Linked DNA regions of Drosophila melanogaster. The gene in region 1 interacts genetically with each later gene. Each region holds a gene or a part of one and is shown in the gene's direction. Other genes may lie near its edges. The genes, in order: TBPH, Rab11, sens and cac.

Region 1 (7,949 bases):
TGTGTTAGAAAAGTAATTAATGGCTATTACAACAATTTAAAACTATCAAAATAGACTGAAGTTGAAAAGTTTAACCGGTTAGAGTGACCGGAGGTGCCCAAAGCGCGCGGGCCGAATGTTATCGATAGCGCTGGATTCCTCGCTGGTGCACGATATTTTGCGCGACGCTGGCCACACTGGTCGGCCATTAATTTACGAAATTTACGAACAATTAACATAAACTTTTACATTTATCCGTGTGTTTTAGCAATAACTATCTATCTATGTGCTATTGTTGACTACGTCTAAGTGCCACAGTGTCTGCAGGCTGCAACTCCAACAAGTTGCTCGCATTACCCCATCGCAGTAATAAATACTGCAATGTTTTGATACAGTCTATATTCGTTTTCAATGATTCAGCAAGGCGGTGAGTGCCAATTCCCCCAACGCAATGGCCGCAGCTATCACCCATATCACCTATATCACTTCGATCGCCAATTCCAGCCCATAAATGGTTCCATTACCATATGCCCACTTATCAGGGAGCACCCCTCCACCAACACACGCACGCCCAATGAGTGTGTGTGTGTGTGCTGTGTGTGTGATGGATTGCTGCGTGCACGCACACTCCTGCAGCCAATTAGAAGCCCCGTTAATCGGCATTGGCAGTTAAAAGGTTACTAATAGCGCCTATAATTCCCAGTGCCTCGCCAAAAGCTTCCGCAAATACCTGCAGATAGTGGAACAGATAGTGCGCTGCTTCGGCTGGGCGGGCTGAGGTGGGGTGTGTGTGTGTATGTGTGGGTGCCCAAGTGGGCTGATTTAGTCATCCAGTACCAGTAACTGACCATATTGCTCTATTCTCCCCGCCTCTTTCGTCACTGCGGTCGCTCCCCAAAGTGTCAAAAATTCCTTCGATAAGAACGCATTGCCAGTGGTTAGTTGTTAGCTTTCACTCTTTGATAGCTGAGCATTATTATGATCGCATATACGATTTCAGAATTTCAGAAGGGGATTTCAAAACCCTGCATGTTGCTTGCCAAACTTTTTATGCCGTGCGCGGCTTATCTTGACAACTACTTCGCTTCGATAAACCATATTGATCAGCTTCACTTCTTTCCGCCCCACAGCTGCGCCCTGAAATCAGCCCGATAAGAACTTAGTGTTAAGCGCTACCTCAAAGTGTCACCATGATCGGACCCAGTTCGCAGATCAGCAAGATCCTGCTCACCCTGCTGTTCCTGCTGATCATCTTCTACGTTTTCATGGACGTGGAGCTCTACCTGCGCATCCACAACTATGCCATCGAGAGGAACTATCACACGAATGTCTCGCTGCCCGCCTCCGTCGTGGGTCCGTCCACCTCGGAGTCCGGGTCCGGCAGCATCGGTGGTAGCAGCAGCAGCAGCAGCAGCAGTAGCAGCAGCACCAGTACGAAACTACCCACCGCCGGCGACCGGCAGCCGTCCTACGAGGACCACACCTGGATATCCTGTGATATAAATCCGCTTTGCCATGTGACCGTGAAGGCCATTCTGTTGGACCACACCAACCACTACCTGTTCGCCCCGCTGGCCACCATGTTCGACAACGTGATCGGCTTCTCGCGCTCCACCTTCATCACGCCCAACATGATATCGTTTTTCCATGTGGGCGTGGCCTGTCTGGCGGGCAAACTGGTGGCCTCGGACAGCCTGGGCTATCGGCGGCTGGGCGTGCTGCTCTTCCAGATCCGCACCTTCCTGGACGACCTGGACGGGCATGTGGCGCGCGTGCGCAAGCACATACGCGGCGAGCGCTCGGAGATCGGCACCTCCGGCTACTATGTGGACGGCCTGTGCGACGGACTCGGCTGCATTGCGCTGCTGCTGGGCATATTCTTTTACCTGAAGAACAATCCACCGCGGAGGGGCTACTCGATCATACCCATGAGCGACTCCAAGCTGCCGGAGCCCACCATGATGATACCGAAGATGAAGGCCACCACGCGCAAGGTGGCCAAGAACGTGATCAGCTTCACGGGCCAGCTGCTGCTGAGCTCGACGGCGTGGAATCGCTACATTGCCGTCTACCAGAACATGCTGGAGCGCGAGGACGTGAGCGGCAACCAGTCGCATTGCCAGGATTACGTGTTCAAGTCGACCTGGTTCTTCTGCGTCGCCTGGATGTGGCGCATCGTCAACGTGCACGCCCTGCTGCACTGCGTCCTGCTGAGCATCTTCTGCGACAAGCTGTGGGACTTCCTGCGCGCGATCCGGTACAGCGGTTACATTATCCTGTTAGTTGCTATATGTTTAACTGAAATGCACATTCTGGAGGCCCAGAACTACATTTTCAACTCTACGGCGTGCAGTAATATTTCACTGTGATTTTACTAATATTACGAGAAAATACAATAATATTTGTGTAGTGCAAATCAGCGATGCCTTTTTTAATTGTGTATAAATAATAATGTATCATAATTGTTAGCCAATCATTAATATTTCGAAACCAACTAATGCATTTTGTCATTCAAGCGCGGTCTGCAAGAGCAATCGAAACTCCTTCAGCTGTAAATAATAAATGTTATTGATTAATAAAGTCTAGCTGTTTTTATCGTACGCATTTCCATGGCGAGCTAATTTCGTTTGAATTTATTTATAATGTTTTGTGTTTCGAAATTTCAAATGAACACGATGCGCAATGCTGCCAAGTTTTTTTTTGGTATAGCTGATGGGCAGCACTGCAAGGTTTGGTATTTTATTCGACAGTACCAAATGCCAATATAATTGCCATATTGTAATGTAATATATTGCTTAGATATTCATAGTGGCAATCAACGCTCATATAGTTTAATAAAGAGGCTATTAAAATTTATGTGACAATGCACTGTTTTAACTAAAAATAATACACTTTTAGTATATCTACCCGCCGGCTGGTATTTCTCACTAGCCCTGTTCGGCCACACTGCGCATACGTCAGGCGATACATACAAAGGAAAAGAAAATCAAAACGGAAAGCGAGAAGAAATGCTTCACTCGTCGTTTGAAAATTTGTTAAGCTGTCAATTGTAAATATTACCTGATTCCTATTTCGCACCGATTGAAAGTGGTTGTGCATCGAAGCGTGTGTTGTGTCAAGAACCGAGCGTGGAACGTACAGTGAATACCTGATTTTGCCTGGGTGTGAATCGAATTCGTGTGAGAGAGCGTGCGATCTGAGATCTGGGATCAGAAATCTATATCTACTTGCCATACGCAGTCAGAAATTACAGCAACCAACTAATCCCTGTCAATAGTGTAAGAATTGTTGTGTAACCAACCATCTTTTAGGACCGCCAAACTGCCTCCGTCTACACATTATGTCCTCCCCTCGACGATTGCGTTTGTGTGCGTGTGTGTGTGTGCCACACACTTGCACTCACACACAGACGACAGGATTGGATATTTTCAATTTATGTGGCTTTCATTCATTGATTTTCCAATTCCTGCCGCGATTCCACACTCACAAACGTCAGTTTACTCGTATTAAGTGGGTGAAATATCTGTTTTCTTGAGTAGTTCAAAACATATACATATGTATGCCATACATCGTAAACTTGGGATTGGGTATTCTTCTTTTGTTTATTAACTAAATGTACGTAGAATAGGCATTTAGCCGATGGTGGGACATAAGTAGCGTCTGATTCAGAGAATTTTTAACTAATAATAACGTAAAGAAACGCCTAAACATGAACACTAATAATATATGAATATGTTTGTAATACTTACTAAAATTATATCATCGAAATTACAAGAGATAGAAACATTGTTTATTTGTCGTTTTTAGTAGATTGACCTAGTGTAGGATCCTTTTTGTTTTGGCTTGGTCCCACGAGCAATGTGTGTATAGAGTGGTTCGGGGCAACCTTTTTGTGTTGAATATTGTACCTTGGGATGCATCTGAATAGAACGGATGAACTGAGTGAGTGCATTCATGAATGCAGCGATGCAGAATATGTGGGATGCTTCCGTTGACTGAATGACATGGTGGATCATTTCTAGAGCGAAGTGTGAGCCCCTGCGGCGATAGAGTTCTTTAATCCCCTCCTCGTTTCTAGCAGCCTTCTAGGAAATGGATTTCGTTCAAGTGTCGGAGGAGGAGGGCGACGAGCCCATCGAGCTGCCGGCTGAGGAGGATGGCACTCTGCTTCTGTCCACACTGCAAGCTCAGTTCCCTGGATCCTGCGGTCTGAAGTACCGCAACCTGGACACGAAGGCTGTGCGCGGAGTTCGCTCCAACGAGGGCAGACTGTTTCCGCCCAGCGTGGAGTCCGGCTGGGGCGAGTACGCTTACTTTTGCGTCTTTCCCAAGGGTAAATTCGAGTTGTATGACTCCCTGTTGAACCTTAAATAATTCTGTAATCCCCCCCTGCAGAGAACAAGCGCAAGAGCGACGATAACTTGGAGAACTCAACTGCCAAGACCAAACGCATCGAGACCCGTCTGCGCTGCACTGATCTCATCGTGCTCGGCTTGCCGTGGAAGACCACAGAGGAGAGCTTGCGTGAGTACTTCGAGACCTACGGCGAGGTGCTGATGGCCCAGATCAAGAAGGACACCAAGTCGGGCCAGTCCAAGGGCTTCGGTTTCGTGCGCTTCGGCTCTTACGATGCCCAGATGCGCGTGCTCACCAATCGCCATCTGATCGACGGTCGCTGGTGCGAGGTTAAGGTGCCCAACTCGAAGGTAAGTCCTCTTGTTAGCCCTGCAATTTCACGCCTACTAATCCTTCTATTCTCATAGGGCATGGGCCACCAGGTGCCTTGCAAGGTGTTCGTGGGCCGCTGCACCGAGGACATTAACTCGGACGACTTGCGCGAGTATTTCTCCAAGTTTGGCGAAGTCACTGATGTGTTCATTCCCCGGCCCTTCAGGGCCTTTAGCTTTGTAACCTTCCTTGATCCCGACGTGGCACAGTCCCTGTGCGGAGAGGATCACATTATCAAGGGTGAGTCACTGCCGCGTGGAGAAGAATCAGGGAATTAATGAGACACTTTCCACAGGCGTTTCGGTCCATGTGTCGAATGCTGCTCCAAAGGCCGAGCAGAACAGAAACCAACAGGTCCAGAGCTACAACTACAACTCTGCCAACAGCTTTGGCATGCACTCATACCACCCACAGGGTAACCACATGAATCCGGGCCGCAACGGACACCACCGAGGTAATAACCAACACAATGCTCACGGCGGTGAGAACGCAATTGTGCCCAATAATCACAACATTGGCACCGCCGGCTACGGCATGGGTGGCAACAATTACGGCGGCAACTCGGGCGGGGGCTACCACAACAATGGCGGCAATCACTCCAGTGGCGGGAACACGAACCGCCAGGACGGCGGCAGCCAGTACAACAGTCGCCAGTCGAATTTTCACGGAATGAACCAGCCGCATAACGGCAACGTGGGCGGCAGCAACGGCTGGATGAACCGTGGCCACCTGGACATGCCCAACCTGCAGGCCCTGGGCATCAACTCGCAGGGATCGAGCTCCTCCAACCAGGGCCAAAACATGAGCAACCAGTCAATGCTCAATCTCAACTCATTGCCCATCAATCCCGCACTGGTCGCTGCCGCCTTGAACCAGTGGAGCCTGGTCGGCAACCAGCTGCAGAACCAAAACCAGGACCAACAGGCAAGCCTTCACACCTCAATCATTGTTTCAAACAAAAAACTCTCTCACTTGCTCCGCAGGGCGGCAATTTTCTATCTTGGATGGCTCAGAACGGGGGCCACAACAATGCCAACAACTTTGGTGGACGGAAGGGGCCGAATAACCCGAACAACAATCCGGCCGCCAACGGAATAAAGACCGACAACTCGGAGCCACAGGTTAGAGTCAAAACTGAAACCATCCCCTAAGAAACCTGGATCCCAGCCAGAATCTATTCTACTCTATTCCAGAATGGGAACACCGGTTGGTCGAACCAGAGCAGCGGATCTCAAAACGCCGCGGAGAAGTCAAACTTTCTTTAAGGCGGTGCCTGTCACCCAATGATGTGGTTAATGTGGTTAACCAACACCTCTGTAGCTTACTTAAATTTACATATATGTATTCCACATACAAACCAGTTAAGAATTGTATTTAATATGTAATAGATATTTTGATAATTGTAAACAAGATGACACTGGATGGCTAATAACACAATTGATAAAACACACTTCAAAATAAATTCTGCGCCAAAGCTCAGTAAAAATTGTATCATTGTATCACTTAAGTAGAATTTGATTTGTATTTTGTTGTTTATTAAATATATTTTGGCTTACGCTAAGAAAGTTTAGTTATAAAGATTGTGCACTTATAATGCTGGATCTGCGGAGAATTTCCAATATAACAAAGTTTTCTTTAAGATATCTAAACGAATTTGGCGCAGCCTCATTTTAGAGGAGAATTCATTTAACATGTACATTCATTTCAAAAAATAAAGAATGCAAAAGCATATTAGTACAAAGTGAATCATTTCATTTGAATGGAATCTATGGGATTGTGAATTGAATATTTTAATATATTCCTGTAAAGGAAACTCTCCCGTCTTGGAAACTTATCTCTTATTCTTTGAAAATAACAAAGTATGTTTTATAATTCAGTTTGTAATGACACCTGGATCTTTTTTTTTTACAAATTTCCACTACACATTTGTTTGAGTATATGCAAGGAATACCCTTAATGAGCAAGCTTTGCGCCAGCGAAAATACAGCCCTGTGTTCCATTCCGCCATTTTTCTATTTTCACGACGGTGGCAATAACGGAACTTGCAATTGCCGCGCGCATTGCGGCGCACTTCACTTAATTTAGTGTCAATCTGTTTGAAGCTAGCAGAAATGAACCACATCATCCAGGACAAGTACATTCCGCAACAGCTGCTCTACTTCTTGGCGGGACGGCGCTGCTGCCAGCAGTTCCCGTGCACATTCCGCACCAGCGAGCACGAAGCATTCGCCAACAACGCCCGCTCCTTGGGGCTGCGATCGCAGGTGGTCCATGTCAACGGGAATAGCTGCGTGAAGGTGTACAAGCAGGCATGTCGCCACTACCTGGAGGAGCCCAAGACGCTGGTTTTGTCCTCGGGCGCTACGCTGAACATGTTTACGCTGCTGAGCAGGAAGTCCTTGATGGGCAAGGAGGATTTGGAGCTTTACGCGGACCTCGTCTCCATGAAGGCCAATGCCTCGGACCTACCGTCACTGCATCTGCCGCTGCCCGCCATACGTCCTCCTAACCTGCGCTTCTGGACGGAGGCGCAGCTGAATTTCCTGACTGCTTTTCTGGGTCACTCGCTGAGCGACGAGATCTTGCAGTCATTGTACGCCAGTCGGGTGATCGTCTATAACGCTGCGCTTTGCTGGGACAAGTCCGTCTTCCTGCCCCTGGTCATTCTGGACGATTGCCGGAACAAGAAGTCCAACGTCAAGATTATGTGCATCGAGCGGCAGGCCATTCTGGCCACCTACAACAGCCAGCGAACGGCCAACTTCTTCGGCGAGCAGCTGGGCGAGACGGTGGGCATCCAGTTGCCGTACTTCAGCGCCGTTAGCTCCAGCACTTTTATTATTTACTCGACGGCGCAGTACTTTTTGCGCTCGCTGACCAGCCAGCAGTTTCGCAACATCAGTCACCTGGTGGTGAACGATGTCCACCTGCATGATCCCTACACCGACATCCTGTTGAGCGAGATACGCATGGCGCTAAGTAGCCATCAGAACCTGAGGGTGGTGCTGCTGTCGCAAATGGGAAACCCCAAGAAGTTCACCGACTTCTTTGGCGAGGGATTGCAACTGAATATGATTAAGCAGCCGGAGGTCGCACCACGTGTCTCCTACTTGAACGAGCTGCACAGCTGCATTGCCCTGGCCGGCATCCACAAGGGTCCGGACATCTACAAGGAGATTCCGGAGGCTTTTCGCGCCAACAATCCGCGCAACGAGCAGATGGACAAGTGCCTGCAGGCCTAC
Region 2 (8,812 bases), on another chromosome or scaffold:
TACGGACGGAAACCAGTCCTGCTGGCTTGTGCGGTAGGTAATCCCAGTGCTCAATGCTTTAATGTGCACTAAACACTAAACTAGTCTTGTTAGTTTTCTTTTTGGCTTGGTCAACATTTCATGCTATTACGAGTTCAATCCAAAAGCGTGGAATTCGTCAAATTCAAACTCCTTAGCTAAGCCACAAATAAGTAAACCTTCCTTAAGCTACGTCTTCTTTCATCTATAGAGTGGTATTGCGTTATCCTATCTGATCTGGGCCTGCTCCAGCAACTTTGCCCTGTTCGTTTTGGCCCGCTTCGTGGGCGGAATTAGCAAGGGCAACATATCCCTGTGCATGTCCGTCATTACGGATGTGTCCAGCGTTAAGACCCGTGGACGCGGTATGGCCCTTGTGGGTGTGGCCTTCTCGCTGGGCTTTATTGTGGGGCCCATGATTGGAGCCCTGTTCGCCATATTCTCCGATAAAAGTGGAAGTACTTGGTTTGTGTTGCCCTCTCTGCTGGCGTTTGGCCTGGCAGTTGGAGATCTTGTGGTCCTGGCCTGCTGTCTGCGGGAAACGTTGCCCAAGGTGCGTACGGTTGGCTAAATTAAATATATTCCCAACACCATTAATTGTTTGACCTTTTCGCAGGAGAAACGTGTTAAGGAGATATCATCTGCACTGTCTTATGGCCTGCAGTTGCTCAATTTTTCGGCCATATTTAGGTAATTCAATGTTTTAATTAGCATGTCTCGAAAACCTGTCGTGTGATCAAATCGAAATCGTCATACGGTGAGAACTGCAAGCCACCCGGACTTGCCTGACTGGTTTGATAGACACTATTATCATGCCGGGTTCTCGGACACGTTTGTTTGATTGCCTTATCAGTTAGTAAATTCTAGATTGCTTTTGATTAATTGTAGTTACAGGGAATTGAGTCCAGTTAGCTAGAAGATTATTACCAATGATTATGTCTGGATTTTACAATCATATTTCAAAAGAATTCTCCCACTGACAGATTTGCTGCCATCAAAAATGTGCCTAAGAAAGACATTGCGGCACTGCGATCCATTGGCCTGGTATACTTCTTGTATCTCTTTCTGTATTCCGGCTTGGAGTTCACCGTCACATTTCTGATGTACCACAAATTCGGTTACACTTCGATGGATCAGGCGAAGATGTTTTTGACAACGGGTATGGAGCAAGTTGATAATCTACAATATTCCCTATCAAATTTGTGTCTTTTTCTAGGTGTAATCATGACTTTGCTGCAGGGATCGGTGGTCCGACGGCTGCCCGAGGCGAAGATCAAAGGCTATGCCATCTTCAGTTTGTACCTGATTGTACCCGCCTTCGTAGTAGTCGGCCTAGCCGAGGGCAGTCGGATGCTGTACGCCGGCATGACCCTGTTCGCAATCTCCACAGCCTTCGCTGTCACCTGTCTGACCACCCTCGTATCCAAATACGGAAACGATGACCAGAAGGGTTCAGTACTGGGCATATTCCGCTCACTGGGAGCTTTGGCTCGAGCTCTGGGCCCCGTGGTGGGATGCATTGGTGAGCTCCTCAGCTGTCTTAGGATTATACCTTTTCTAAACTCTTTAATCCTTAATAGCCTTCTGGTGCGTTGGCTCCAGGATCACCTATATAGCCGGCGGACTTCTGCTCATTTATCCAGCCATGGCCTTGCAACGCGCTCGCATTTAAGTGCAATAGGAATAGAGTTTTTAAACTCACTAGAGATCAACGGAAGTATTAGCTGCACATTATACTTAATTTATCGTTTTTTACAAGTATTTTATATTAAAATAAACACATTTTTACTCTGATTTGTAAGCAGGGGGTTTTTACTTGGGATCGAAATGTTTTCTATTTAATTAATTTTTTTAATAAGATAATATTAGAAACAGTTACTGCTACTGGGAGAACGATTCTGTTTAGGTTGGAACGTTTTAAGTATTCAAGACATTTTGAGTTGGAAATAAGTTAAATGGGCTAGGGATAATCCCTAGAAAATGTGTTCAGCTTTTTTAAAATACGATAGGCTTGTCGGGATGAAACGAGAGCAGTTCATGATAATTCGTCGTACCGTCTGGTAACTCTAAAACATCCATCTCGTTAATTTAGTGATGCAAGTCGATGTGAAAACATCGATAATGATATAAGTATGTTGGTGTTTTAAAATAAAACAAATAAGTTTTTTAAATAGGAAACAAACATTAGATTTATTTTCTAGACCTAATGTGTTTTAATTATGAAAAAATTTAATTCTAATTCTAAAGCTTTTGAGTATAAAACAATGTTCATATAAACAAAAATAGAAGTGACATTGTACTATCGCCTTACATCGCCATTAAGAAAATCGATAAGTATCGCCGAAATAATGTCGATGTACCGATATTTTTCAACATCTCTAGTCTCGTTGGAAATATAACGTGACGTTATTGGGAGTGACTAAGTTTTCGTGTAAGAGAAAATTGCAAATAAATGCGCTGCAAGCAGCTGCAAATCTCCAATTAATACTGCTCCAATTGCCGGAAAAGTCCTGCCAGCATTTTCGAACGCATCCGAGCTGGAAGAGCAACCGATTTCGCCACTTAAATACTGATATATACACTTTTCTCTTTCTTTACAACTACAACTGCAAATAAAAGTGTAAAGTGTGTGAGCCGACGACAAACGCATTAAAGAAATCGGCGGCGCGCAGGGATTATTGGATTTCGTTTAGCACCCGCACACACAAAACAAAAAGGACGGAACTGGATTTCCAAAGGATATCGAACCGAGCGAGCGATAGCAAAACAAATTGAGCAAAATGGGTGCAAGAGAAGACGAGTACGATTATCTGTTCAAAGGTAATTATAAACATGATACTAGCCGCTGGTCGAAGATCGCGGAAGGTTGATCAGGAGGGGAGGAGCCGCACTTCCAGGCTCTCCTCTCCCTGCCGTGAGAGACAGTGGTTCAATAGCACTAATTGAAACTAATTGGAGAATAACAAAAAGTGCACTCGAAGAGCCCAAAGTTCATGTGATGGTATGTGGTGTGTTTGTTTGCGTGAGTGTCATTAATTCCCAAAATAAGAAGTACGCCCCCCGAGTTTGTTGTTGTTGCTACTGCTGCAGTTGGATGCCCTTTGGTGGCTCTCCCGCTCTCACTCTGCCTATCTCCATCTCTTTGGGGTACTCTTTCGGACTGGAGTACGCGTACTTTGCCGTTAACTGCTTGTTTTGTCATTACAGTGCCGTTGGTCTCGCCACGTTGCATACAAAAGCCAAGCAGATCGTATTTATAATCGCTCGCTCTGTAAAGTAGGTTTAAGGCTTGCCCACCCACTCGAAATGCTAAAGTGATTAGATATCCAGTAAATAGAGCGAGAGTGTGGGTATTATGATTTCTGTACAGCTGGCTTTTGCAATGGTTTCTTGTAACTTCGTTTAGTAGCTCTCTCTCACGCGCGCTCTCTTTTTCACCCGCTCTCGATTGAAAGTTTGAAGCACAGTAGAGCAAAATGATGTATTTGCAGGTAGAAAACAAGACTTTTATCCCGCATCTTCCCCCGTTTATGTGTAGATATGTATGAACAGAGGTCACAAATTCTCAGCTCTTCTTTGTTCCCTTCGTTTGCTACTACGCCATAAATTCCAATTGCGCTTGGAAATCTCTGCTAGCTATCACAGCTGAGCAACTGTTGAATGTCATTAAAAAAATATTTAAAACTTAATCTGCCGTATTTTTTGGGTCAAGTATACAAAAAGTTAAAAAAAAAGTCATCATAATAATGCGTCAGTGTGCGGTATGCATGATGAGGCCTCAAATTTCACACATGAAACAATATTAAACGGACATGACTCACAGCCAATAACTGCTGAAGAATTCCACTCACCGATAAGCGCATAATCACATAACTGAAAATGGGCCGTTTCGGGTTATTCGAGCCAATCCCACTACTAAGTAATGACCGTCGATTACCACTCCTCCCCTTTTAATTTCTCATCGCATCCGCTTAACTAAGTGCAATTTCTCTTTAAAGATCGTTATTAGCGCTGAGAAAGAGAGTAGAAAACAAAGTGACTCAGCTCTCTCGCTGATAACTGTAACCACGCTGCTCCCAGCTGTCCACACTGAAAGAAAACCCTATACCCTCTAATTTAGCTATCTAAATTAAGTCAAAAACTTGGACTTAGCTCAAAAGTCGTTTCAAATATTTAGTTCCTATCTTAATGGCATTGCAATCGAAACTTCGAACTCAAGAATCAGTGTTCATATGATACCATTTTACTATTTGAATTTTCTCCGTGCAGCGATGACCATAGCGATAGAGCGAAAAGGTGTTTGATGAGTTATAGTTGTTGTTTTCTGAATGGATTAGCAAACATGCTGAATCAACAATGTCCGAAAAGGGTGTCAAAAATGGAAACTAATAGACAGACAGTCAGTAAACACAGTGTCTAGATATCAGTTAATATATATTATAGCCAACAACTCTGGCCGCACATAAGAAAGTTTATCAAAAAGAAATGGAGTCGTAAAAAGGTCAGTGGATAGTTTTTATCGGGTAGCATATCAACTTGGGATGCTTGTTTGCTCCCTCAAATATCCGCCACTCAATTATCCAAGAAATGTTTGCTATCGGCAATGAAGCACAATAACACGAACTCCCTAACGTCGACTGGCCCAATCATAAAACATTTCTTTCCATGGCCTGAAATCCCCCGAGCATGGCGGTTTTATGTACTCGCTGACCTTGGTGCGCCGTGCCAGCGGCGAAAGGAGGACATGACCTAGCCGGGCCACCAGCGACCATTCTGTCCGGCCGTAAAACACAAGACAGGGGCCATGCCACGCCACGCCACACCACACACCCACATAAATTATGCAACTGGGGGTCTTCGATTATCCAATGCCAATGTCGATGTCACTAATTCCCTCTAATCCTTTGCAGTTGTCCTTATCGGTGACTCCGGTGTTGGCAAAAGTAATTTGCTCTCACGTTTCACGCGCAATGAATTCAACTTGGAGTCCAAGTCGACGATTGGCGTTGAGTTTGCAACGCGCAGCATAGAGGTGAGTACGCTGGCCAAGAATTCGAGGGTGGAGTGGCCCATGGAGCTCCACCCCCACACATCTACCGCACCGCACCCACAGTGGGGGAAGTCACGGGTGAACTTGCGTGTGCGTTTCGGTGGGAGGACACGTAGTTGAGGCGTCTATCGGAAAATTGGGGGGAAAAGTTTGTTCAATTTGAGTAAGTGTCGAGAATTTCACTAAATAATGGATTGCCAATTGGCTTTCTTGCATAATTTCAAAAGCCATCCTACGGGATTAGCCAAAATGTTGACATCATAGTTGTCACTTGTGCTGAAATAATAAATTTATGTGGTCAATAACAATTATATATTACGTATGTATAAGGATTTGTGTTAAACAATACTTTGTGCCATCTTTTCGAAGTAGCTTAGTAGGTCATCTTAATATTTAGTATATCAAATGGGTTCAATGAATATAACTTACGCTACTTGCGTTTTTTCTAACTAGTGTAAGAAATTTCAAAAATTGGGTTCTCTTACTAGAGTTAAAAGCTTATCCATAAGCTCTAATTTATGTTGGTTATGTGTGAATACTGAATGCCAGTGCTTGTATATTAATTTTCAAAGCGAATGCGCCGCAGGCATTTCGTGGCGAAATTGCCAATTACTGGCACCATTCTAATGCTGTCCTTTGTTTCATCCTTCTTGTGCATCCAACGCAGGTCGATGGCAAAACAATTAAAGCGCAAATCTGGGATACGGCCGGCCAGGAGCGTTATCGCGCCATCACCTCTGCCTACTACCGCGGTGCCGTGGGGGCCCTGCTCGTCTATGACATTGCCAAGCATCTGACCTACGAGAACGTGGAGCGGTGGCTGCGGGAATTGCGCGACCATGCCGACCAGAACATCGTCATCATGCTGGTGGGCAACAAGTCCGACTTGCGGCACTTGCGCTCCGTGCCCACGGACGAGGCGAAGCTGTTTGCCGAGCGCAACGGCTTGAGTTTCATAGAAACCTCGGCCCTCGACTCAACGAACGTTGAAACGGCATTCCAGAACATACTCACAGGTGGGTCGTTCAGGATATTTTAGCTAGTCTGCTTTCAAATTATCGATCGTTTAAGAATATTTAAATACTGTAGATTAAACGCTTCATTGAAAGTCAATAGATTAATGATAACGAAGCACGACTAATGATGTCTCGTAATCCCGTTTCAGAGATCTATCGCATTGTGTCGCAGAAACAGATCAGAGATCCGCCGGAAGGCGACGTCATCCGCCCGTCGAACGTGGAGCCCATCGACGTAAAGCCGACTGTCACCGCCGATGTGCGCAAACAGTGCTGTCAGTGACCGCCCCAAGCAATTTTCGCTATTCCCCGCAACCGCCAGAACAGCAACATAAACAGAAGCAACAGCAATTACAACTACGACTACAAGAGGAGCAGCAGCGGCCAGAACTGCAACACCAAGATCAGGAGCAGCGTACACCCGATGGACCGCACAAGATGTCTATGCGTTTGTCAGCCACAGTTTGTCATGTGCGCATAAATTGATAATTCAAATCTGAGCCGCCACTCTCCACCACCAACACCACCACCATCATCAGAAGCAGCAGCAGCAGCAAAAGAATCGAAAGCAACAACATCCGGCTGTAGTTAACTGCGGTTTAAACTGAAGTTTTATATATATACAGATCCATGAGTATCGCATAAATCGACCGCCGCGGAAAGAAAGCAAGCAAAACTAAACACTCCAAATTCAGTTTAAGCTGTAGAACTATAATTTATATAAATATACATATATGCTAATATTAAAATATTAATATTATTAATTTTTCGCAACATAAATATATAGTTGTAATTTCGCGAGCAGAACAACAACAAACAACCGGAAATTCTTCGACTTAAACGCAAATTCATTACCACAGCACTGCAGCTCGGATTTTCTTCTTCGGTTTCTCGCAACATTTTAAACGATTGGCCACTTGGTAAAACTAGCTGATAAAGAGAAATCAAACAAAAACAGTTGTAAAACTTTAAATGCATAAATGAAACGAAATAACATCATTTGTGTTTGCTATGTTAAGTGTGATTAAATAAATATAATTTAAATAAAACAGAAGTGCTTTCAATTGGGCGGAAAATCGAAATTTAAAATGGGATTAGAGTGACCAAAGGCAGACGTCGGAGTGGGTGTTTGGTATTTTCCGCGCGAGCAGCCACACTGATCCATACACGTGCGGGAGAAAAGTGAACAAAAACATTGAAACATGGGCGGTAAGAAGAAAGTGCATCCGAAGACGCGCACGGCGGCCTTCAAGGCCAGCGAGCCGAGCGAGATCGTGGAGGCGCCGCACTCCTTCGTCATCCATCGCGGCCTCGCCTGTCCGTACATCACGGACCTCACCCTGGACTTCCGCCGCATTATGGAGCCCTTTACGGCCAGCAATCTGCGCGAGAAGCGGATGAACCGCATCAAGGACTTTGTCAGCCTGAGCAGCTTCTTCCACGTCTCGCACATGGGCATCTTCAACAAGGCCTCCACGCAGCTGTCCTTCAAAGTGGTCCGCTTGCCGCGCGGTCCTTCCCTGACTTTCAAGGTTTGTTTGTTTCATCGCTTAGTTTATACTGGATATTTTACCGCGAAGTTATTCTCTGTCAGGTTCACCAGTTCACCCTGGCCAGAGATGTGATCTCGCTAAGCAAAAAGCAGATGATTGACAACGATCACTTCAAGCACGCTCCGCTCGTCATCATGAACAACTTCAGTGGCGATGGCAAGCACCTTAAGCTGATGGCCACCACGTTCCAAAACATGTTCCCCTCAATTAACTTGGCCACGGTTAATATCGGCACCATTCGTCGCTGCGTCCTGTTCTCCTACAATCCGGACACGAAGCTGGTCGAGATGCGGCACTACTCCGTGCAGGTGGTGCCGGTTGGCTTAAAGCGGGCGGTCCAGAAAATCGTCAAAGGAACGGTACCCAATCTGGGCAAGTGCAACGAAGTCGTGGACTTTGTGACCAAGTAGGAAATGACCGTTTGTTCTCATTCCATCAAATAATCATAATATTGATTTTCAGGGACGGCTATGCCTCCGAATCAGAGGCCGAAGATGATGAGCAATCACATGTGGTGCTGGCACAGACTCTTAAAAGCAAGGGCAACTTGGAGGACAAAAAGAGCTCCATAAAGCTACACGAGATCGGACCTCGACTAACCATGCAGCTCATCAAAATAGAAGAGGGCCTTCTGACGGGCGAAGTACTGTATCACGACCATGTGGTCAAGACAGAGGACGAAAAGGAAACCCTGCGCAAGCTGGTCGAAAAGAAGCGAAAGCAGAAGGAGCAGCGCAAGAAGGAGCAGGCAGAGAACCGTGCCCGCAACTTGAAGCTTAAGAAGGATGAAAAATGGGCTGCCAAGAGGGCGGCAGAGGGACGGACTGACAGCGATCCCGAGGATGATGCAGAGTACTACAAGGAGGAAGTCGGCGAGGAACCAGACGAAGGTGAGTTGTGCTACATGCTGCGTAGAATATAAACTAATGTTTCCTTTGCAGAACTGTTCAAAATGGAAGCGAAGTCCTCCCGAAAGCGGCCTAGTTTGGGCGGCGGAATGAAATACAAGAACAAGCGCGCTAAACTGGATACCAAGGACAAGAATGACAAATCTGAGCGCACGGACAAGTACGATCGTAAGGACAAGTTCGATCGCAAGGACAAGAAGGACAAATTCGACCCCAAGAACAGGAGAGCCAAGTTCGATCCCAAAAACAAGCGCGCCAAGTTTGACC
Region 3 (9,177 bases), on another chromosome or scaffold:
AAATTATATACGACTCTCGAACTTGTGATGCATTGCAATGCACTACAAAAAATAATGATTGATAATTCAAAATGCATTCAAGACTTTTGGTATCAATCGTGATAATATTTATTACAAAATTCTAGTTTTGAAGCTTATTAAACACGTACTTTCAATTTTAGAATTTTGCTTTTACATTTGTCTGTCTTAAATAGAATTATCCTATTTCGAAGTAATGGATATTAAAACTAAATAGCACCAACTTATTTACATGTTTGTTGCGGTAATCTATAATAGATTTCGGTTTAAAGTAAAAGCCTTTTCAATAAATTTCTCAGTGCTGCATTCCTAGCTGCATTAAGCGGATTCTATATGCAGGAATATTGTAATTTTCAAAACAGTATTTCTCTCAGTGTACCGCATATCAAACGATGATAGATGTGTGAGCGGCATACGGTGAATCCGTTACAAAGCGGCAGGGGATGAGCACGCGCCCTCAGTTCTCCAGATAAACAATATGTATGGGAACGCCGCCAAGCGCAACGATGCCACCAACTTGACTTGGCCAGCCCTCATCGCGGTCGAAATGGTAGAAGCCAGAGTTCCCCCATTTTGGCCCGCTTTTAGGCCGCGTGCCTCGTACCGCTTCGCTAGATCGGCGGCACCCGTGGCGGACACGAGTGCGATGGAATTTCGGTGTCGCCTCAACTCTGCACATGTCCTGCCATGGAAATTGCGCCAAAAACTAGGGGATGGGAACTAAAATTGCTGACAAGGAAAAGGATCGTTAAATGTGGAAGTGTAAGTGTGCGCCCGCCACATTTTCTTGGCTCGTTTTCTAGGCAGGTGTGGCCCGCGCCAAGGATAGATAAACTGGAATTGAGGCGGCCAAGACGAGGTGGCCAAGCGTGGCGAGCTACCAACTCAGGAGGAGGACCCCGAACTCTCATCAAGGATAAGCTCGGAAAAAGGTGCATCGAGCGGTAGAGGGAGAAAGTGGCAGGTGCTCAGTCGTCCTATCTGAGTGGTTTAATAGCTACGATCCAACGAGAAGATGGGGACTTTATGGCTTAGAGTTTGGTATTGGTTTTAAATTGACTGACAAAAGAATTCAGTCTTTTAATTTTATTGAAATGCTTTAGGAAAATACGACGAACTGCAAAGTTTGCATTGAGAAATTTAACAAAAACTTTGTTGAAAGTTAATGTTCTGAAACCAAACCAAACTATTTGTTAAAACGGTTTTAAATGGGAAATCTGATATTTTGATAGCTATTAAATAAAATCTGTCCTAATCTTATGTATTTAAATGTAACATTATTATAATCAAATATGTCATTTTGGTAAGGTAGATTTTATATAGAAATATAACAAAAAAAATTCTACAATAATTTAAATAAAGTTTATATATTTGTGCATTGGTTGTGAAGTAGGTTTACGTCAATCCTCTAAAATGTAATAACACTTTTTATGGATGAAGTCTAAAGCTTAAAGATTAAATTCACGATGTTGCTTTAAACTATTTACCCTTATTGGGAGAAGCGCAAATAAAAATGAATTTAAACTTAATTTCTCCTATATTTTACTCGCAATGTATTTTTAATAATTAATACAAAAATTAATTTTCATCACATTCAAAATTAGGAACCCATTTGTAATCCTTGTCAAATCTAAAGGTAATCTAAACAGTATCTACAAACATGGAGAGTTGCCACGACAGATGTTAGATCCTTGGATTCATCCACCTAAATATTTGTATGCTACCCCGCCCCATCCCGCCCTCGTCCTCTCCCCCCTTCCACCGATCAGCAGTGAAATCCTCTGCCGATTGCTGGCCCTCTCTCGCTTCTTCTCCCTTGGCCAAAGTACCGATCCCGATATTCCTGAGCCAACAACAGTTGGTGGCAGCAACAGAAAGAGCAAAGGCAATTGTAACTGTTACAGGGCAGCGGGAAAAGGATAACAAACGCCCGCCAAACTTTAAGTGCATACCAATTAGTAGGGAAACGCGTGCTGGAAAACCAGTAGTAGATGGGCCAAGAGGATACGAACGCAGGGGGTTGGGGTATCGAGATCGCCAGGGGACTCCTAACTGTGCGTCTTGACCCATACAACATGGAACACAGGACTGCAACTGCCGCCAACTGCTGCCAAAGGTGAAAAACCAGAGTTGGCAACACGAACACCAACACCAACAATACATTGCAGGGCTCTCGAGAGCCACCACCAAAAGAGTCAACACCAATACACCGAGGGCTCGTTTTGATTCGGCTTGCTGCCGCACTCACACAGTGCCACAAGTAACCACAGTCGCACACAAAAATAAAAAAAAGAGAGCTCGATTTGTACCTTTTTTTCGGGCCAAGTCGCTTCACCGTTGGCTCAATTTAGAACTGAGCCATCGACCAAAGATTCAGTCAGGTGCGAAGCACCGAGCGATACGGACGTGTTCGTCTCCAGTGAGTCAAGATAAAACCGCACTGAATAAGACCCATCGAAGATCCGTTCGAATCCAAGATCACAACGCCAAGAAAGTGAGATTTGTGCAGTGAACAGTATTGAGAAAAATCACAATCCAAAGACTGTTAAAGCAAATACGTAAATCAGATCCAGTGAGATTCCAAAAAGTAAAGATCCAGAATCAAAATGAATCACCTATCGCCGCCGCCATCGCCGCACTCCCAGCAGCCGAGTCCCGCGGGATTGGGCTGCCATGGAGCAGCTCTGGACAAGCAGTGGATGCAGCGGGCATCCGCCTTCAACACTGTGATAGCCTCCGCCGCAGCACAGAAACTCAATGGTCGAGGTGAGTTCCCGATCTGGATTGACAGAAAAATATATGGGGCAGTAAAGATAGCAAAAAGATTAGCTTATAGCTTTTTAATCGTTTCGAATTGTATTTAAAAGATCACTCGATTTAAAATCAAAATGTTAACACTTTCAACAGATCAGAAAAATTATGTTAACTTTACTGTAGTTCTTACCAATACAAGAGTAACTTTATATTGATAGGCATCCTGAGGATACTTTTCCTTCCTAATCTTAATCACTACTATTCAACTGATTCGTTAAATTTGCATTTCATAGATCTGCCCTTTTTGTACAACCCGCTGCTCTACTCGAGTGCCCTACTGTGGCCCCAATTTTTGTTGTCCTCGGCCACGGCTCTGGGTACACCACTGACCCCCATGACCCCCAAATCGCCCGCCTCTGTGGTTTTGGGTCAGCGGGATCGTGACTTTGCCTTGACGCCCGAAAAGGAGCATGAACTCCAAATGAACAATAACAATGAGAACAGCAAGCAGGACTATCAGGAGCAGGATGAGGATATGCCACTAAATCTAAGCACCAAGGAGCGCATCACATCGGATGATTCCAACCGAGATCAGTATCACAGCAGCAGCAACAACAGCAGCAGGAGCAGTTCCAGCAGTGAAGTGGAGCAACTGCATCCGATGACCTCGCTGAACGTTACCCCGCCTCCCCTGAGCGCTGTGAATCTAAAGAGTTCGAGTACACCACAGCAACAGCGCCAGAGATCGCAGGGTAACATCATCTGGTCACCGGCCTCGATGTGCGAGAGATCGGCGAGAAGGGAGCAGTACGGCCTGAAGATGGAGGAGCAGGGCGATGAGGAGGAGCACCAGGTGGATCCTATTGTGCGAAAGTTCAAGTATGAGCGCAGAACTGCATCCATATCCTCGCTGCAATCGCCGATCTCCTCGCTGTCCGCTCCCGCCTCGAATGCCGTCCAGGATCTGGAGTTCGAGGTGGCCCAACAGCAGTTGTATGCCCATCGCAGCGCATTCATGGCCGGATTGACGGGCAACAATCTGGAGCTGCTCACCCAGCACTTGAAGCTGAAGAGCGAGCAGCCGCAGCAGCAGCAGCAACAGCATCGCATCAAGGACGAGCAGCAGCAGGATAACCGCTCGGCAGCGGCACTCATGAATTTGGTGGCAGCCGCCGAATTCGGCTACATGCGTAATCAACACCAACAGCCGCAGCAGCAGCAGCAACAACAGTTGCATCACCAGCAGCAGCCGCAGCAACATCAGCATCAGCAGCAACATCCTGACTCGACGGCCACAGATGTTGCGCGTCGTTCGTCCTCCTCGTCATCTTACCAAGGAGAAAACGAAGAGAAGCGCAGCGGCAGGAATTTCCAGGTAAGCAAACTCAAACAGGATAAACGCGTCGAGGGGTAGGGAAATATGAAGAGGAAATCGAGGGCAAATCGCTTGAAAATCTCTGAGCCCCCAGCCCGCTTTAATGGGCTTATCACGTGTCCTGAAGGACCATGATCTATAACCCAAAACGAATACTGTTCGTATCATTGCATAAGGTTGCGTGTCCTCGACAATTCCCCTGTGTTAATTGTTTCATATTTTGTCCGTGCGGGTTTTAATTGTCGCCGAGCCGAAAACCCCACCAATACCACTTTCAATTTGGAAAAGTGGCACAGCAAATACTGTCATAAAGTTGGTAATACAAGCCAAACCGATAGAGCTCTATGGAAATTCAATTAAGTCCCATCGAAATCACGCAATTAGTTAATCAAATAATTTTGATTAGCGCCAGTGCGGTGGGGGGCATAACTCGCCCTCGAAGATTTATGTACAAATTACAATCATAATAATTCGATATTGGATTGTGCAAAAGGTAAGAGGGCACACGACCCTCAGGAATTTGAGACGACTTACCCTAATAGGCCTTATGCCTACCCCGATGTCATATTGCGTTTATATCCATCAACACCCGCCGCGAGTCCTTATTTTTTTTTTTTTTAACATCTTTTTCCAGTTTTTTTTTCACACATTAAAGGGTCAGAGTGAAATGCGATAGGTTTTCGGGCTTCAGTACCGGACCGACATATGGTCAAAAAGCCGACGAAGACAGTTGCCAGAGTCCTTTGCGCAGGCGCAGTCACTGTTCTTCAGCTGTTTATGTATAAAATCGAATTTTTTCTGTAATTCGTGCTTTACATCTGTTCACCATTGGAGGCCCACCCGGCTGACTCAGACTTTGGGGTTTCTCCTTAACTCTTTTTTTGTTTCCCTGCTCGTTTTTTCTTTTTTTTTTTGCCTTTCGAGCTTTGCCAACTTCCGTTCCGTTGTCAGAGCTAAGCAAATTGACATTATGGCTCAGGCAGTTGAGCGCAGCTTAACAATAGAGCAACTAATTGGGTCTGAGTCTAGCCAATGTGTGTAGTGGATATGGTCCACGCGAATGCAATGCGCAAATAGAAAATCCCAAAAACAAGGCTAAAAAAAAACGTAAAAAATAAAAAAATAAGAGAACATAAAAATCAATAAGAAAGAAATTTTAAAAAACCGACACTTGTGTCAATTTACAATTACGCGTAGACCATGCGGGTTTTTCAAAAAAAAAATTGTCTCACATTTTTTTCACCCATTTCTGTGTTTTACTTTTCGTTGTTTTCATGTTTTCGTGTTTAATATAAATGTCGCCCACGTAGGCCGACGATTTGAGTTGTGTTATGTCAATGTTTGGTTACTTGCAACGTTGCTGCAACTGGCAAACTGTTCAAACATTTAATCTGACAACCGAAGATGTTACAGCCACTGGATTCGTCCAATCCCCGCGATCGATTCCCCGTGGATCCCAGCTGTGTTTGGCCCACAAATACTGCGGTATATACAATGTATGTACATATATGCATGGCTAAAGCTCCCTGGAAAGTGTCTCACTTGAGATTTAGCATTGGGCCGAGATATTTACCTAGCTGGTTTCAGCGCTGAGAAATGGCTAAGGTTCTAGATTATTTGTCGCCTGGATGTGGGCTAACCAAGTTTGGCTTGGTTTGGGTTTTCCCTTGTCGTCACTTGTCTAACAAATATTTGAGCACTCACAAATCTAGTTTAATTCATGTTGCCACTGCGAATTTGGCTCAGGCACACAAAAACGGTGAATTTATATATAAATTCTTTTCTGATTTTTTGATTATTTGGCTTTTTGGTGTGAATATGCTCAAGCTGTGCAAATATGGGGTATTCTGAGTTCCAATAATCATGACTCGTTCTGTCTGAATGTGGTGTTAATAATGTATTTTTCTATTGTCTATGTCTTTCTTTTTAGTGCAAACAGTGTGGCAAGAGCTTCAAGCGTTCGTCCACCCTGTCCACACATCTGCTCATCCACAGCGATACACGGCCATATCCCTGCCAATATTGTGGCAAGCGGTTCCACCAAAAGTCGGACATGAAAAAGCACACGTACATACATACCGGTAAGTTGAATATTCGGTGAAATCAAAGCTAGTCCATGGGGAGAGTATCCAACTATTCCTCGGCAAATGTGTCAGAACGTGGTGCAAACAGAGCCACCCTTGAGCACACACACAGATCCCTATCGCCTTTCAATTTGTCTAATTGCTGTAAAGCTGCCGCCGCCTCTCGGCCACAATTAATAAACTTTGAAGCGGCATTTAACTAATTGTGTTTATTGATTTTCCTGCGATTCCAGGCGAGAAGCCACACAAGTGCACCGTGTGCCTGAAGGCCTTCAGCCAGAGCTCCAACCTGATCACGCATATGAGGAAGCACACGGGGTATAAACCCTTCGGTTGCCACCTTTGCGATCAGTCCTTCCAGCGCAAGGTGGATCTGCGACGTCATCGAGAGAGCCGCCATGAGGAGGCTCCGCCAGTGGAGGACCTGAAGCCCCTGAAGATGGAGGTGAGCAGCAGCAGCTGCTGACCGAGGCTAGGCGGCAATCTCTGATCCAGGAGATCCCAGTATTAGCTAAGCAGGACGAGACACACACTCAAAACCAGATGATGATGATGATGATGATGATGATGAAGGTGGAGCAGATCACAGTTGGCCCTAAGTCTAAGTCGTTGCTATGAAGCCAAAGTTTGTTTTGTTTAGGCCTTCGCAAAGATTTACCTAATCGTAAGAATTATTGTTAAAACATATTAGCTAAGATACTGCCTTAAGTCTGTACATAGTTATCCCAAACAAGACTCTTTTTTATAGCCGTTAAACCCTAGCTTAATGATTAATCTAATTTATTGCATAAAGCGTTTTTGATTTGATTCAAACTTAACCCAAAATTGGCAGCTAAACGTACCAAAGAACAACCTCAAACAAATGAACTACCACTTGGCGACCACTTGTCTAAATTTAGTTTCCTAATTTATTTAAGTTTATTGATGGCATCACCCACATTTATTTATACGATCTATGCGAATTTTTAGTTTATTCTTATTTTGTAATAAGCCCAATGACTTATTGTAATTATATTTATTAGGAGCGTATATGATTTTTGGAAAATAAAGTTGAAAGCTAAAAGAGAACAAACAAAATATATGGGTTTTTTTAAGGATAAAATATCTAGAATGATTGATTGATTCCTTTATACAAAATCCTCAGGCATATCAGAAAATACACATGATATGATTAATACATATGTATATATTTTTGGTATGTATTATTAATTCAAAAAGTTTTTACATCGGGTGGGTTAAATATCTCATTATTACGATCAACCCCTTGAGCAGCTGAGAAATTCCTTAGTATCAAGGACACAGCCTCCTCCTTTGAAGTACCACATTTTGATACAAATTGTCCAAAGCGCTCCAAATATTTTTTCGGGGGCCTGTTCGTAAACCTGATTTTATAGATGAATTTCTGCACGTACTCAATTGATGGGGAATAAGTTGCTCCTGTTTCGGGTGACGCGGTGATCTTTGATCTGTGCCCAATGTGGCATTTGGGGAATGCCCTTTGTAAGTCGCCGCGTTACAGCAGGTACACATCCCCCTCGGCCCACTTGCATGCCCGATCCTTGGGGAAAACGCCAATAAGTGTTCGAAGTTCGAACTAATTGCTGACGAAATAAAGTGAGAAATGGGGCTGGCGGGGATCGAGAAGGGGGGGGGGGGCATGGAGCAATGGTCATTGAGGACTGCTGATCGCAATTTTCGGTAATCGAAATGTCCGAATGCATTTTGCGGCACTTTAAAACGCCCGAAATGAAGTTTGGCAGTTTACAAATCACCGACTTCCCTCATTATCGCCATTCATCGGCAGTCGCAATCAGAAATCGACCAAATCAGCGAGCCCCATCCGCAGGATTTTATTTGGGGCCACTTTCTGCAGCCAAACTCGATCGTCGGGTTGTTCTTGGTCTTCTTTGACTTTGGCACGCCACAAATTGATCGAAATTGACAAAATATTGAAAAAAAAGAAAACCGGGCAGGGGAGAGAGAAATATGCAGTTCAATTGTTGCCGAAGAAAAATGCAGTTCAAGGACTTTACGCCAAGTGCCGACAAAGTGGGGATCAAAAGTCAAAGAATGTAGATGCTGATCATTATACTATTGAGTTGGCATTTGGCCAGGTGGATTGCGAAACTCAAGGTCGGACGTTTTATCAAATTTAGTACTTTGAAAGTGACTCGCAAGTTCTGTGCAAATATGACTTTCATTGAAGATATTGATATTGAAGTGAAAAGTCAATAAAAGAGAAGGTAAATCCGTAAAATCAGAAGCATAAGTGCATAGATTTTTAATCACGAATATTAATACTTTGCTTAATGAACTGTGCATATACTTTATATATACCTCAAATCGCTGAAAGTACAAGAAGCAGCTTAGCATTAGTTTGCACTCCATAATGCAAACTCGATAAGATACAGATACAGATACACATAGGTCGCAGCCATATGCTGGAGTTTCTCCGCAGCGCTGACTCTCGGTTTATTAACCCCTTTTCCGCATAACACCTGAGCCCACATAATTTGTCATGCCGTTTGGAATTTATTCAACAGTCGGGCAAGCCCCCATGGAAACAAAGGAGAGAGCTATGGAAAATGTGTGGCTATCAAAAGACTGAAAAGCTGCAACCCCAAAACGCAGACAATGCTGAATGGGCAAACCGTGATCGCGCGGGGGGAAATTGTGAAGAGGAAATTGATCTTAGAAGTGGTCTAAAGAAGTTGTAGGACCCGCAACAAATTCGTGTCCTTTCCTTTCCATCCCCGTCCCCACGTACCATCCTCTGAATCGGTTCCGTTTTCCGGCTACCCCTAGTTCTTTGGCCCTTTTGGTGCCGGGCAGGTGACTTTTGACTTTGGCTATTAATAAAAATAATAGTTGCGGCTAAAAAAGGAAAAAAAAAAATAAGAAAAAAGGTGAGGAGCCCGGCCAAGAGCAAGGGCAAAAAAGATGTCT
Region 4 (6,581 bases), on another chromosome or scaffold:
AAACGATTTAATCCATGACTTGTTTGCCCGCACCACAGAGCACAGCATCTTCATGACCCAAATCCAGTTGGAGCACATTAGGAAGTTGTCCTTTATACCGGATAAGAAGAGCTCCCTGCTGCTAGATCCCGAGGAGGAGGAGGTGAGAAAAACCGACGACAAGCCGCCCAGTACGCCGCACATCCAGTTCAAGAAGTATGCATCCGGATTTTGGTCGGTTAAAACACACACACGATCGTGACATTCATTCGTTACTTAATGTCCGCTTTTGTAGAAAACCCTTTGCCCAGGCGCCCAAGGAGATTTGCGGACGCATCGACAGGGATCTGGACTTTCACTTGTCCCAAAGAACGGAATCACTTCATGTCGCAATCGGTGAACCAAAGAGCTCCGATGGCATCACATCGCCAGTTTTTGTCGATGACGATGAAGACGATGTCCTGGAGCATCAGTTTGTGGACGAATCAGAAGCAGAAGCGATAGAAAGCGATAGCGCCGATAGCCTGCCATCGATCACCAGGGGATCGTGGCCTTGGCTAGCGGCCATCTATGTGAACAACCTGACCTCCCTGGACTTTCAGTGCGGCGGTTCGCTTGTCTCGGCACGCGTTGTAATCAGCTCGGCGCACTGCTTCAAGTTGTTCAACAAGCGCTACACATCCAACGAGGTGCTCGTCTTTCTGGGCCGCCACAATCTGAAGAACTGGAACGAGGAGGGATCTCTGGCGGCCCCCGTCGATGGCATTTACATTCATCCCGACTTTAACAGTCAGCTGAGCAGCTACGATGCGGATATCGCAGTGATTATACTCAAGGACGAAGTTCGGTGGGTGCCAATATGCCTAAAGCTTACATATTCAAGATTTAGATTCATATCTAAACCGCGATGTGAAATCGAATATGAAGATCATTTATTATATTGACAGTATACCATTATTTTCAACGCAGATTTAACACCTTTATTCGACCCGCTTGCCTGTGGTCTGGTTCCAGCAAAACGGAGTACATTGTGGGCGAGCGGGGCATCGTCATCGGCTGGAGCTTTGACAGAACGAACAGGACGCGGGATCAGAAGCTGTCGTCGGAGCTACCGGGCAAGAAGTCCACCGATGCCAGTGCACCCAAGGTAGTAAAGGCTCCCATTGTCGGCAATGCCGAATGCTTTCGAGCCAATGCCCACTTTCGCAGCCTATCCTCAAACCGAACGTTTTGCGCCGGCATCCAGGCGGAGGAACGAGATACGCATCAGAGCGGGGCGAGCATTTACACCGGTATATCGGGGGCCGGACTTTTCATCCGCCGGAACAATCGCTGGATGCTGCGTGGCACAGTATCAGCGGCCCTGCCCGCCGTAGAGACACCGGATGCGGAATCTAGCCATAAGCTTTGCTGTAAGAATCAGTACATTATATATGCCGACGTGGCCAAGTTTCTGGACTGGATCACGGCCTTTGTAATTTGAATCACATCCGAAATGTGTATGGGAACGCATTTCTAAGTGAGCGCTGTGATAATAGCCCCTTGGGCATGGCGATGGGCAAAAGTTACTCGGAGTAATTAGCGGTTATCGGTTTTTTCTTTTTTTTTTTTTGCTAGTTTCATTACGAAAACTTCTGATTATGGCATTTCAGTTTTATTTTTATCTAAGACAGTAGGGCAATTCAAATAATAAATTATGGCACGGGAAAGCCAAAAAGGAATTTTCCCATAGAATCGCTGCGCTTTTAGATCTCCACCATAATATTAACATTAAAAATCTCGAAATTTGCAATGTTTAAATTCCTCTGACCACATATAGAAAACGTGTATGTTGAAAGAATCACAGGTATGTTTGATATCGAAATTAATTGTAATACAGTAACGTTTACCATGCCTTTGTTATCAGTGTGTTGTTGGCGCTCGTGAACAAAGGAAGCTGCTAATATGCCGGAGTGGGCGGCCTGGCCCGTCTGAGCGGCGTTCACCCATGGACACCTGGACACCCTAATTACCAGCGGCAGACACTGTACTGCGCAAATGCTGACTACTATCAAGCACGTCATCGCACGTCATCAGCCGCAATCGTCGTCATCGCCATCTGGGCCGTTATCTATCTTGCTGGGTTGTTGGGGCATCGACAGCAGTCGTAGCCATCGACTATCAGTTCCGTCCGGACCGTGGCAGCTGGTGCATCACACCTGGGGCTCTGGGCCCGTCGTCTACGGACATTCGCAATCGTTGAAGATCCCCAAACAAGTGCAACGCATTGTATTGTGAACGTGCCCGATAGTTGGTAGTGAATATATTACAGAAATGGCAATATTTGGAGTACATTTCGCGTATTGCAAAGTTCGATTCATCGATTCCCAGAATGCTGGGCGGAGTGGGAGCTCGTCGCCGAAGGGGCTCATCTCCTATGGCGCGATTGACCATTAGCAACATCAACGGTCTGGATGACAATATTGCCATCATCGGCGATGGCGTCATCCGGCGGAGCACGCACTACGGCTCGCAAGGGTCTAACAAAAGGCGCCGGGCTCCGGAAAGTTTTGCTCTTGTCCAGACGCGACCGAATCTAGGCGACCTAATGTGAGTACCACTACCAATTTAAATATAAATTATTTAAACTTAACATTATTTTAAAAGATCAATTGATATTTAGAAAAGTATTGAAAATTGGTAAAAATTCATTATTATTAAAGATAGTATGCAAAGGTAATTGACGAGGGTTATTGAAATGTACAGAGATAAAATTAAGTCTGAAATAGAGTAAAATATGTTGTTTGTTTTATATATTAATTAATTAGGTCAAGTATGAGAGCGCCTTTGATCATTTGTAATTCGGTTAAAGCCGGGTTTTCAAATAACCGATATCTTGATGCAAAAGTTTTTACTACAAGGGGTTGAAAGTATTCTTAAAGCTTAAAGCTTTATCAACAATTGTGGCAGTAGTAAATCAATTACTTAAATCAATTAAAAAAAAAACTCTTAGAATGGGTAAGTAGCTTAAACTTCGTCGCTTCGCTTTTTTTTTAAACTTTAGCAGTATGATTTAAGCCCGGATTTTAAAACCGCGATTTCTCGAAAGTTCGATAGTTTTGTTCCCAAGGGGTGAAGAGCAAGCGGAGCTTAAAGCTCAATCGACGACTGTAACGGTCCTAGGAGCGGGTTTCCTTGGAGGACACGCATGCGCTCTCCTCCGCACTGGCTGGCCAGTGTGTCCACCTCCGATTGTCCGATTGAGCTTGAACTGAAGCTTGGACCAGAGCTTTCGGGCGGATGCAGAGCGCAGGGCTGGTAGATTTTTTTCCCCATATTTTTGCCCTTTGTGCGTGTGTTTGGACCCTGGCGATGTGGTAGTATGTGATACAAAGTCGCCGAGTTGAAGTCTTGCGTTTTGTTGAGTTTTTCGTCCAACTGGTGAGACAAAGTCGGTGGTGACAGCTCCCGTAGAAGCGGTTTTTGTTTTTTATTTTTAACTCGGGACCCAGTCAATTTAACAGCAAATGTGCGACAACTAAAATGTGGCTGAATACAGAAGCCTGGCGTTAAAGAAATCAAGTGAAAATCACTCGCAATGCGGGGTTAAAAGTGCTGTGAAAATTCCACATTTCGAATGTTGTGTGCGCTGGCATCCGAATTCGGGTCGAGTGGTGAAAATAACACTACAAACATCCAAACCAAGAACAAGAAATATAGTCGGAAAAGCGTGAAAATCGTGAAAAATCGTGAAAAACCCAATGGCAAAACGTCGAATTGGCGACAATGGCGGCGAGGACAGCAAAAATAGCAAGAAAAGATATCGGGAAACCAAGTGAAAAGCATTATTCGGGCTTACTGAAGCCAATAAACGACCTCTGATTGTGCTCCTCCAGGCAACCAGATCTAATTTTTATTTTTAGCCACATTCATATACATATATATATGCGTTCGTTTCAAATCCCAATTACCGAAGCTATCCTTAAAAACCAGTTGTAAAAGTTAAAGTTAACAAGCCCCACGAACGCACCACACACACACCAACACACCCGCACGAATATACATATCCATATACATATACATATACATATACATATATATGTATAGCCATATATATATACATAGTTGTTGGGATTGGGTCAGCGGGTCGGTAGCACAACGGGCGGAATGTTGCGTCGGTGGTGCTATATATTGCGGTGGATGGAAGTGGAAGTGGATGTGGCAAGAGGCAAGTGGAAAAGCAAAGGCGAAAGGAAAAGCTAAAGCCAAAGCTAAAGCTGAAGGAGAAGGAAAAGGAGATATGGAGTTTTCGGGTGTTTTTTAGCCTATCGGTATATCGTTTATTTTTGTGACGTGTACACGCACTTTCGAGGTGAATGAATTGCGGCGATGTAGCAGGAAGCACCCCCCAAATTAATATTTAAATTAACTATATTCTCAGTCCACACAAATATTTACTAGTCGTAAATTCCCCAACCCACACACACACATACAAATCTACACATGTATATGTTTTCCATACCGGAAACGAATTCTAATGATGGTTCTCCTCTCTTCACGGAAGTGAAAAATTTGTTTGTCTCTGTTCTTTTAACAATGCTCATATGAATACTCGTATGGGGAATTGAATGCGAGCATATGAACAAATATTGTGGTAGTCGTGTGCTCTGTAACTAAACTTATAACGACATATCAAATTTCAGTTAGTTGGTTCTTTAAGCCCAATTAAAAGTGTAACAGTTTCCAGAAAAAAAGAAATAACAAAAAGCGTTAGTTTAGAGGGGGCAACGATGGCAAGTGTGTCATTGTTGCTGTTTATTTTTGGCAATTACAGGTTCGTTGGTCTCACTGTGGCCCGATTGTAGTTAGACACACAGATATATATAGCTTCTGCCCATTCCAAAAACCCAAAATCGTTCCGAAAGACATCGTCAACATAAAAAAAAAAAAAATTTCAGACAACTGTGCCTGGTGACGTCACTAGGGAAAATAGAGCTGGAACTATACAATTGCAATAAATAACAAGAATTGCTTTTAAAGAAAAGACATTGCTTTGCGCAATTGAAAATGAACTATTCAAAATAGGGCAATAGTTAATTTAAATGCAAATGCAACCAGATTTACTGGGCCCTTAAAAGTAGGCAAGCGATTTGTGGTTGCGATGTTATCGTTATCGGTGTGACCCAGTGATTGTTGAAACCAAAGAGAAAGAGTGAGAGAGAGAGGGGGAGAGAGCTTCTGCCGGTACGTGTGTATATGTGTGTGTGTGTGGATGGAATGGAGAGAGTTGAAATTTGCAAATGCCAATTCTTGTTATCAGCCCCGTAAATCAAAACATTTGATTGATCTGCAAATAACTGTAAAGATAAAACCTTGTTCGTAGTTTCACTGCCTTATGGGCTAGTTTGTCAATTCAAGAATACTCCGTAAAAGGTAAACAAGTTTTCAGAATTCTTCCAGTCGGAATTCAGAATCTCACCGTTTCACAACTCACCACAGCCCGTGTATGTGTGTGTGCGAGTGTATTGAGCTTTTTTTTTTTTTGGTGTTCCATACACATGCATTTGTATGTGTGCCAGTCTCTCAGCCTCTGACTTTTTCATCCCCTAACGTTTTTCATTCATGGCGTGTTCCAGTAATGGAATTTTATACCAATAACCGAAATAACCACATCTATCTGCAGACCGTGTCCATAGCCATTGCCAGTCCGAAATGTTGTGGATCAGCTTCTCTACAGATACACCACATATTGGATACAAAAATAACACCAGCCATGCACTTGGCATGCACCTGAGTAACCACATTCCCATACCCATGCCCATGCCCATTCCCATCCAATCCATATGTATGTATATGTTCGTGCGCGAGTGTATGAGCATGTTTTCAATAGGTCATGAACTGAATTGACCCGAGCGCATCATAATTATCGGTTGGCAAAATAAGTAGCACAACATCGAAACACTCAAAGCTAACGCAAAGCCAAGCGAATGAAACAGAGATTCCGGAATCTGACCAGTTTCACTTCAAATCGTAATCAAAATCGAATCGAATCGAGTGTGTGTGTGTGTGTGTGATTTGCATCTAATCGAATTTCGTATTTCCAAATTCAGTTCAAGTGCAATAATAACACGGTGGTAAAGCGTGGAATAGCTAATAAATAATAATAAAAGACAACGATTCAAAAAGCGATAAATACAGCAAAGGAATAATAATAATAAAGTGTACAAAAAACAGCCGAGCCGAAATCAACGATCAAGGGATTCAGGACGAGGACGCGAGTTAAGGCAGTTAAGGAATCGCAGCCGGAATCCTTTAGCCTCCAGCCTCCATCCTAAACAACCGCCACATCCTCCAGTAATCACCAGCAACAGCCATCGGACTCGCGAGCTAAATGTCCAGTTGCCGCTATCGTTCCATACGGACGGCGTGTCACTCCCGACAAATGCGTATTGTGGTTGACCTTGTTTAATATAATTATGGCCGAGCGGTCGTTACAAAAGTATCAGAAATTGGATACAGTGACGGTACGTGCCACCTTTATCTAATTAAAAAATATTATGAATTCAGAATTCCAACAGCTTGATGTCCTGAATCGGGACTGACTTTCCCTTCCCTTGAATTCA

Evidence for each region.
Region 2: of TBPH (region 1) and Rab11, changing one suppresses a phenotype caused by changing the other (phenotypic suppression), as found in Drosophila melanogaster (one study listed by BioGRID).
Region 3: of TBPH (region 1) and sens, changing one suppresses a phenotype caused by changing the other (phenotypic suppression), as found in Drosophila melanogaster (one study listed by BioGRID).
Region 4: of TBPH (region 1) and cac, changing one suppresses a phenotype caused by changing the other (phenotypic suppression), as found in Drosophila melanogaster (2 studies listed by BioGRID).

Annotation. Positions count from the first base shown.
Region 1 is NT_033778.4:23,857,569-23,865,517, reverse strand, and holds TBPH (TAR DNA-binding protein-43 homolog), read left to right. Parts: upstream 1-2,924; 5' UTR 2,925-4,071; coding exon 4,072-4,312; intron 4,313-4,374; coding exon 4,375-4,685; intron 4,686-4,742; coding exon 4,743-4,947; intron 4,948-5,002; coding exon 5,003-5,631; intron 5,632-5,690; coding exon 5,691-5,828; intron 5,829-5,900; coding exon 5,901-5,972; 3' UTR 5,973-6,451; downstream 6,452-7,949. Other genes in the region: Cpes (ceramide phosphoethanolamine synthase), read left to right, coding at 1,170-2,348; bgcn (benign gonial cell neoplasm), read left to right, coding at 6,819-7,949.
Region 2 is NT_033777.3:21,109,018-21,117,829, forward strand, and holds Rab11 (Rab11), read left to right. Parts: upstream 1-2,390; 5' UTR 2,391-2,798; coding exon 2,799-2,838; intron 2,839-4,928; coding exon 4,929-5,050; intron 5,051-5,735; coding exon 5,736-6,084; intron 6,085-6,233; coding exon 6,234-6,367; 3' UTR 6,368-7,129; downstream 7,130-8,812. Other genes in the region: rtet (tetracycline resistance), read left to right, coding at 1-33, 230-571, 635-708, 1,002-1,177, 1,235-1,540, 1,599-1,690; ppan (peter pan), read left to right, coding at 7,287-7,616, 7,679-8,043, 8,100-8,527, 8,579-8,812.
Region 3 is NT_037436.4:13,394,355-13,403,531, reverse strand, and holds sens (senseless), read left to right. Parts: upstream 1-2,406; 5' UTR 2,407-2,624; coding exon 2,625-2,784; intron 2,785-3,065; coding exon 3,066-4,147; intron 4,148-6,077; coding exon 6,078-6,228; intron 6,229-6,464; coding exon 6,465-6,697; 3' UTR 6,698-7,304; downstream 7,305-9,177.
Region 4 is NC_004354.4:11,980,664-11,987,244, reverse strand, and holds the start of cac (cacophony), read left to right. Parts: upstream 1-2,157; 5' UTR 2,158-2,350; coding exon 2,351-2,568; intron 2,569-3,329; exon of another isoform or gene 3,330-3,409; intron 3,410-6,068; exon of another isoform or gene 6,069-6,482; intron 6,483-6,581. Other genes in the region: gd (gastrulation-defective), read left to right, coding at 39-195, 275-826, 949-1,462. UniProt on the Drosophila melanogaster protein: Voltage-sensitive calcium channels (VSCC) mediate the entry of calcium ions into excitable cells and are also involved in a variety of calcium-dependent processes, including muscle contraction, neurotransmitter release, gene expression, cell motility, cell division and cell death.